Linked DNA regions of Mus musculus. The protein of the gene in region 1 binds, or shares a complex with, the protein of each later gene. Links are inferred from orthologs where the notes say so. Each region holds a gene or a part of one and is shown on either strand. Other genes may lie near its edges. The genes, in order: Sirt5 and Prdx1.

Evidence for each region.
Region 2: the proteins of Sirt5 (region 1) and Prdx1 are in contact, whole or in part, in a crystal structure (PDB 8Z54), measured with the Homo sapiens proteins. The link is inferred for Mus musculus from reciprocal best matches to the Homo sapiens genes SIRT5 and PRDX1. Residues at the interface, in NP_001363727.1 of Homo sapiens: Ala86, Tyr102, Arg105, Gln140, Ile142, His158, Val220, Val221, Trp222, Phe223, Gly224, Glu225, Asn226, Leu227, Leu232, Val253, Val254, Tyr255, Pro256; in NP_001189360.1 of Homo sapiens: Phe195, Ser196, Lys197, Gln198.

Annotation. Positions count from the first base shown.
Region 1 is NC_000079.6:43,378,739-43,382,555, forward strand, and holds part of Sirt5 (NAD-dependent protein deacylase sirtuin-5, mitochondrial), read left to right. Parts: intron 1-934; coding exon 935-1,022; intron 1,023-1,761; coding exon 1,762-1,815; intron 1,816-3,817. UniProt on the Homo sapiens protein: NAD-dependent lysine demalonylase, desuccinylase and deglutarylase that specifically removes malonyl, succinyl and glutaryl groups on target proteins.
Region 2 is NC_000070.6:116,688,342-116,692,158, forward strand, and holds part of Prdx1 (peroxiredoxin-1), read left to right. Parts: intron 1-3,434; coding exon 3,435-3,588; intron 3,589-3,817. UniProt on the Homo sapiens protein: Thiol-specific peroxidase that catalyzes the reduction of hydrogen peroxide and organic hydroperoxides to water and alcohols, respectively.

The DNA.
Region 1 (3,817 bases):
TTCTTCTTATTTTGTTAGTTAATTGCTCATTTTCTGAGTTTCGGTGCTAGAGGAGATTCAAGTTCTATTAAATCATAGGTAAGATTCTGTGACCTTTTAGGTGTGAATCTAAACCCTGAACAGCTGCCTCGTCTTCCCCAGCCCACTGGCCTTTTATAATTAAGCATCTAGTTAGTAACTCAGACCCTTAGCTTCAGGCAGAGCAGTTGCTTCTCTCTGGACCACTCCAGCTACGCCTGGACATCATTCCAGAGTCAGCTGCATGAGGTTAGCCATGCATGCAGTCATAGCCATATCTTCTCTAAGTCGTGATGACCTTGAAAGCATCTGGTTTTGGTTGGTTAAACGGTTGTACATGTGCGGTGGTCTGAATAAAAATGGCCCCCAGAGGCCCATATATTTGAACTCTTAGTCATCAAGGATTGGCAGTATTTGAGGAGAATTAGGAGGTGTGTCCTTGTCGGAGGAAGTGTATTACTAGGGGTGGGTTTTGAGATTAGGCCAGTGTTGCTCTCTCTTCCTGCGGAGCTGTTACAGTTCCAATGTCATGAGTGCTTCCATGTTCCCGCTATGCCCCCACCGTGTTCCCACCATGCCCCCACCATGCTCCCACTGTGCCCCCACCATGCCCCCATCATGTCCCCACCATGTTCCCATTGTGCCCCACTTTGCCGCCACCGTGACGATAATAGAATAGCCCTCTGAAACTATAAATAAGCCCACAATTAAATTCTTTCTATTCTGGGGGTTGCCTTGGTCTCTTGACAGCCATAGGACAGTGACTAAGACAGTGTGTTTTTATATTTCCCATGATTCCTAGGGTGGACCTAACCATAAAAATGCACGTAGGATGACTAAGTATTGTCTGGCCTCTCAGACAGGGAGACTTTAATACTGAGTGCTGAACTTGCTTGTCACTTATCTTTTTTTTCAGGAACCTTATTTAAAACTCGGTGTACCTCGTGTGGCACTGTTGCCGAGAACTATAGGAGTCCGATCTGCCCAGCTTTAGCAGGAAAAGGGTAAGTATAGCATACTGCAGAATAAACGCTATCTCTCCTCTAACTGAACATAACTATAAGGACATTGAAAGTTCACTGAAGATTCCAGTGGATATTTTTCTTCCTTTTTTTTGTTTTTTTTCCAGTGGCTATATCTAAAGTGCAAGACTAGATGCGGTACAGATATTTGATGAAAGGAAAACTTGACTCATAACTGTAAGGTGCCAGAGTTCTTTGCTGTGGTGTGATTCCAAAGTTTTATTTACACAAGTTCACATCCTGTCTCCACATATCTGTATATTAGTGAAAAGACCACAAGAAACACACAGCAAAGGGTTAACTGTGACCTTCAGGAACGGGGACATTATGAGTCATTTTTATTTCTCCTTCAGATCATAGGGATTTCCCTAACATTTTCATGATGGATGTGTATTATTGTTTACAATTAGGAAAATTTGGAGCCAACATAAACTACTGGAAAAAAAAATATCTTCTGGACCGTTTCAGAGCAGTATAAATGTATAGAAGCAAAATCCTAACATGGTGTCATTGGAGAAGTATCAGAATTATCCCACTCAGACTCCCTGACACAGCTTCCTGTTGAAGTCAGTATTGCGGGTTAACCCTACTAAGTTAGCACACATGAGCAAGCTTTGTACCATGCGCCACCAGGCAAATGCACAAAGGGCCACGTCACCTTCTTCCTCTGTTTCTTGACTTTACCATCAGTATTCATTCTCTTTAATGCTATTTGCTCCAGGGCCCCAGAGCCAGAGACTCAAGACGCCAGAATCCCAGTCGACAAACTTCCCCGGTAGGTAAAACAAAACAAAACAAAACAAAACAAAACAAAACAAAACAAAACAAAACAAACGTGGGATATGAGTCGTCCCCAGAGCTCTGGCTTTCCCGAATAAAGCCTCATGTGGTTTGCAACAAAAAAAAACAAAACAAAACAAAAAAACAAAACAAAACTGATGTCTATCTGGTGTTCAAGATTGGAGGGCAGGAGAGATGGCTCAGTGGTTAGGAACATTAGCTGCTCTTCCAAATGTTCAATTCCCAGCACTCCCAGGGCAGTTTACAACTGCCCACAATTCCAGTTTGGAGGGATCTGACACCCTCATACAGACATACGTGCAGGCAGAGTACCATTGTATATAAAGTAAAAAAAAAAAAAAAAGTATAAAAATCAAAATCTTAACTTTTTTTTTCCGGTTTAGGGAGATGCCTTTTAAGTGCACCGATGTAGCAATGGTCCCTGACCTCGCAGTCTAGGGTTGAAAGGACAAAAGATGAAGCATCTTCCAGTCCTTTTTAGAGAGCCAGGTTTACTATGTTGCCCAAGCTAGCCTCAAGCTCCTAGGCTCAAGTGATCTTTCTGCCCCCGGTGTTCAAGCAGCTACACAGAAACTGCCTGACTTTGATCTCTCTGTGTCTTGACAGATCCCTTGGGGTCTGGGAAGTTTCTGAAGCAGGGACGTGACAGAAGGTGATCTGTGCACCGGAATCACATTCTAATTACCATTAGAGAGCATTTATAGTATAATTAGTAAGTAGCCCTCGTCCTCTTCCTCTGCGTGTCTCCCAGGCCAAGACTGAGGAGGTGGCAAAGGTCTTGCAAAGGTGAAATGACAGAACTAAAAAAAATTGGGGCTGGAGAGATGGGTCAGTGGTTAAGAGCACTGGCTGCCGATCCAGAGGACCTGGGTTCAATTCCTAGCACCCACCTGATCATTCCCAACTGCCTGTAACTCCATTTCCAGGGGATCTGAGGCTCTCTCCTGGCCTTGAGGGCACTGCATCTTCTTGGTGCACATACTTAAATGCATTCAGAATATTCATACACATAAAGTAAATAAATCTAAAAATAATTGAAATATACTTTCGTATTGTTATAAAGTACATTTGATTTTTAAAATGTCGGTTTTTTTAAAACCAGGCACTGAAACAGTGCTTCCAAAGGGAGTTAGTTCCTCGGGGCCTGGAAGAAGATCAGTGCTAAAGGGCTCACTAGGCAAACAAGAGAACCCCAGTGTGGCTTCTCAAGACTCCCAGAAGAGCTAGGCCTTGCCACTGTACCTAAAACCCCAGGGCTGACAGACATCCTTGGGGCTTGCTAGACAGCCAGTCTAGCCAAAACAGCAACCTCCATGTTCAATGAGAGACTCTACCTCAGCAGATAATACGGAGGGCAATAGGGGCAGATGCCCTAGTTCATCTCTGACCTCTACCTACTCATACACACACACACACACACACACACACACACACACACACACACACGCAGGCCAGAGCATGTGCGCATAACAAAACAAGGCAAACCAGACCTCTGTGAGTTCCAGGACACCCAGACCCTGTATCTCTCCCTCCCTCCCTCCCTCCCTTCCTTCCTTCCTTCCTTCCTTCCTTCCTTCCTTCCTTCCTTTTCTTTCTTTCTTCTTCCTTTCCTTTCCTTTCCTTTCCTTTCCTTTCCTTTCCTTTCCTTTCCTTTCCTCTTTCTCTCTCTCTTTCTTTCTTTCTTTCTTTCTTTCTTTCTTTCTTTCTTTCTTTCTTTCTTTCTTTCTTTCTTGGGGAGCAGGTTCAAGACAGGGTTTCCCTTTGTATCCCTGGCTGTTCTGAAACTCACTCTGTAGACCATGCTGGTCTCAGTCTTGAACTCAGAGATCTACCTGCCTCTGCCTCCTGAGGGCTGGGGTTAAAGATGTGCGCCACTACCACATCTGGCCAAGAAGTCAGATTTTTTTTTTAAAGCTAGCCTTTTGGCCCAGGCTTGTAATCCCTGCTATTTCAAAGGTTGAGGCAGGAGGATCACA
Region 2 (3,817 bases), on another chromosome or scaffold:
GCCACCACGCTTGGTGTTAAAACATTTTTTAATCTTATGTGTATGGTGGGTTTTTTTCTTTTCCTGAATGTGTGTCTGAGCATCATGTACATATGGTACATGAGGAGGGCATTGGATCCCCTGGGACTGGAATGTAGATGTTTTTGAGCCTCCATATTTCTACTGGGTCCTCTAAAAGAGCAGCCATTATGATTAATTGCCAAGCCAACTTTTCAGTCACCTTCAGCTCATTTTTTTTAAAAAAACTACATTTGGTCTTACAAATCAAGTCTTTGGAGCTGTGGCTTTGCTTTTGCTCAAAGGGAAGACTTGACACTCCAATTACCTTTTGTTTTTACCATAGTTTCATGCAGATACTTGGTAGGTTCTGTTGATGGTTTACCTTCTCTCCTTTTAAAAAATTTAGCTCCTAGCTAGGTGTAGTGAATGGAGTGGTGTAGCAGGTGGATTTCGGGTCAGCTAAAGCTGCATGGTGGGACCCTGTCTGGAAAAAAGAAAAAGAAAAAAGCAAAACAATTCGAGGCCAGCCTGGTCTACAGAGTGAGTTCCAGGGCTATACAGAGGAACCCTGTCTCAGGAAACCGGAAAAAAAAAAAAAAAGGCAAAACAAATCTATCAATTATATCTGATCATTTCTGTTTTTGTTTTGTTTTTTGAGGCAAGGTTTCTTTCTCTATGTAATCTTGACTGTCCTGGAACTTGGTCTGCTTGTGTGCATAGGTGTTGGAACTCCTGAGACTGTACTTACAGATGGTTGTAGATGTTTAGATTTTAACCAGAGTTCTTGGCAAGAGCAGCAATATACCTGTAAATGCTGAGGTATCTCTCTAGTCTGCATTCTTTCTCCCTTGCCTTGCCATCTCAGGGTAATTAGGTCTTTTGAGACCATTGCGACTATAGATTTCTTAGGTACAAGCTGCAAACTCTGGTTTTAAATGTACCTTCTTTAGTGGTATATGAGTTTCTGGAGATAGCTTTTGAGTAAAATATTCAGTTAGATTTCCTGACATCACACTTTGTAGTTGGGATGAGAACAGATGCTGTGGGTTGTATGGAGAAGATCTCACTGGCAAACAGTTTAAATAGTACCTACCTCTTGGGAGGTAGAGGTGACCCTGGCACATGGTCTTGGGAGGAGTGCTTGCTCTCTGCCCTGTAGGGCTTGGTCTGCTGAGGCTTCAAAGTGCTTATTAAGCAAAGCCACAGAGAGATTGCTTAGATGAGTCAAAGACTGCTTGTTTTGACTTTCAGTCATAGTTACCACCTGAAAATAAGTAGGTATTTGAAAACGTTCCAGTAAGTAGTTTAGCCGTTAGGCATGGTGAGAGGCTTCATAGCCTTGAAGATTTGCTTTGGTAATCTCAGTTACTAAAGTAAAATTGGAGCTAGAGGTCCTGTTACCTACCGGTACTTAGCGTTCTTTTGGTTGCAACATTTTTCTTGTCATGTCCTGTTGGACTTGTTAGGAACACAATTGTGATTTATGACATTAAACATAACCCATGAAGCCTGGAAACATTGTTCATTAGGTGAAAGTTTGCTGCACAAGCTTGAGGGGCTTCAAGTTATCTAATCCATGGGACCTACATAAAAAATAGGGTTAATTAGTTGAATTCTATAATATCACTAGTCCTATTCAAGATAGATTCAGACAACTAGTCTGTTAATAACACATCTTAACAGCAGAATCAAGAAACCCTGAATATAACAAGATGGAAGGGGAGAAAATTACTCAGGAGATCACTTAATTATTTCTTGCATCATTGTATAAAGGGTCTGACTTGACTCTTTGTCTTTGTTGTTGGTTTTTGTTTTTGTTTTTGTTTTTTTTTTAGACAGGATTTCTCTGTGTAGCCCTGGCTGTCCTGGAACTCACTCTGTAGACCAGGCTGGCTTTGAACTTAGAAATCCGCCTGCCTCTGCCTCCCAAGTGCTGGGATTAAAAATGTGTGCCAGTACTGCCCGGCTACTTTTTTTTCCCTAAGAGAGAGAGAGTGTGTGTGAGTGTGTGTGAGTGTGTGTGTGTGTGTGTGTGTGTGTGTGTAAATAATGTGTGGGTGTTTTGTCTGCATTACCCATGCATGTCTGTCTGGTGCTGGAAGAAGCCAGAAAAGTGTGTTGGACACTCTGGGTTGAAATTATAGGCAATTGTGAACCATCATGTGGATGCTGGAAATGAAATTTGGGGGTTCTAGAAGAGTAGCCAGATCTTAAAACTGCTGGATGGGGATGGTGAGATGGCTCAACGGGTAAAAGCACCGACTGCTCTTCTGAAGGTCATGATTCAAATCCCAGCAACCATATGGTGGTTCACAACCACCCGTAACAAGATCTGACGCCCTCTTCTGGTGTGTCGGAAGACAGCCACTGTGTATTTACATATAATAAATAAATAAATAAATAAATCTTAAAAAAAAACAAACTGCTGGATGACCTAAGTCTTGATTCTCCTGTTCCCTACCTCCCAAGTCATGGGATTATGATGTTGAGTTTCTATCCCCAACTTTTTTGTTTTATTCGGTTTTTTGAGACAGGGTTTCTCTGTGGCTTTGATTGTTCTGGAACTTGCTCTATAGACCAGGATGACCTTGTACTCAGAGGTTCATCTGCTAGGCATATGTTGCTACCATTCAGAAGTTTTGTTTTTGAGATGGGGTCTCCTTGGAATTTATTAAATAGCCTAGGCTGGTCTTGAACTTGTGATTTTCCTGCTTCTGCCTCCTGAATGCTGGATTTTGGAATGCTGAATTACAGGCAGTGTTTGCTACCCACATCCAGGCTTTTTGCGTGGGTGTGGGTGTGTTTTTGAGGTGGGGGCATTGTTAGAGACTTTCACTATGCATCCTGAAGCTGGCTTGGAGCTCAGTCTTCCTGCTACTGGATCTCACCCTGACTTACCTTTACTTTCTGAGTGTACCAGCACACTTGATGTTCTTTGATGTTCTGGGTTCAGTTTGTAGATCATTTACTAGATGAATTGCATTCTTGCCCCCCTTTTTTTTCAGTGTGAAAAGAACTTGGTGTGTATGCTAATATTAACCTCTCAGAAGATCAAAATTGACTGAATAGTGTTTATTCTATAGTTAGCAAACCAAAGAAGAAACAGTCATTTTAATTTAGGCTTTCTTGGTACAAAGGTTATAAAAGTAGCTGCTAAGAGCTGTCTTTATTAACTATGCTAACATTGATTACCGTGTTGGTGATTAAAATCTTCTACAGGAAAATGTCTGCAAAAGAATCTTTTGGAAATTTCTTGTTTTCATTCAGACAGGGTTTCTAAACCTGGCTGGCCTGGTTCTTACTCTGCGTGGTTCAGGTTGACCTCAACTTACAGCAACTGTCCTGAATGCTGGGACTTTAGGCATGTTATCAGTGCCCCTAGATCAGAAACTCAGCTTCAAAGCTAACTTCTTGATTGCTTTTTCCCCCCACAGGAAAATATGTTGTGTTCTTCTTTTACCCTCTTGACTTTACTTTTGTGTGTCCCACGGAGATCATTGCTTTCAGTGATAGAGCCGATGAATTTAAGAAACTCAACTGCCAAGTGATTGGCGCTTCTGTGGATTCTCACTTCTGTCATCTGGCATGGTAAGTTTTTGGTCTATGTGGTACGTGAAATTTTTTGTTATTTATTTAAGTATATGAGTACTATAGCTGTACAGATGGTTGTGAGTCTTCATGTGGTTGTTGGGAATTGAATTTTAAGACCTCTGCTTGCTCTGGTCAACCCAGCTTGCTCCAGTCAGCCCCGCTCACATCAGCCAGCCCCACTCTCAGTCCATCCAGCCCAAAGACTTATTATACATTAAGTACACAG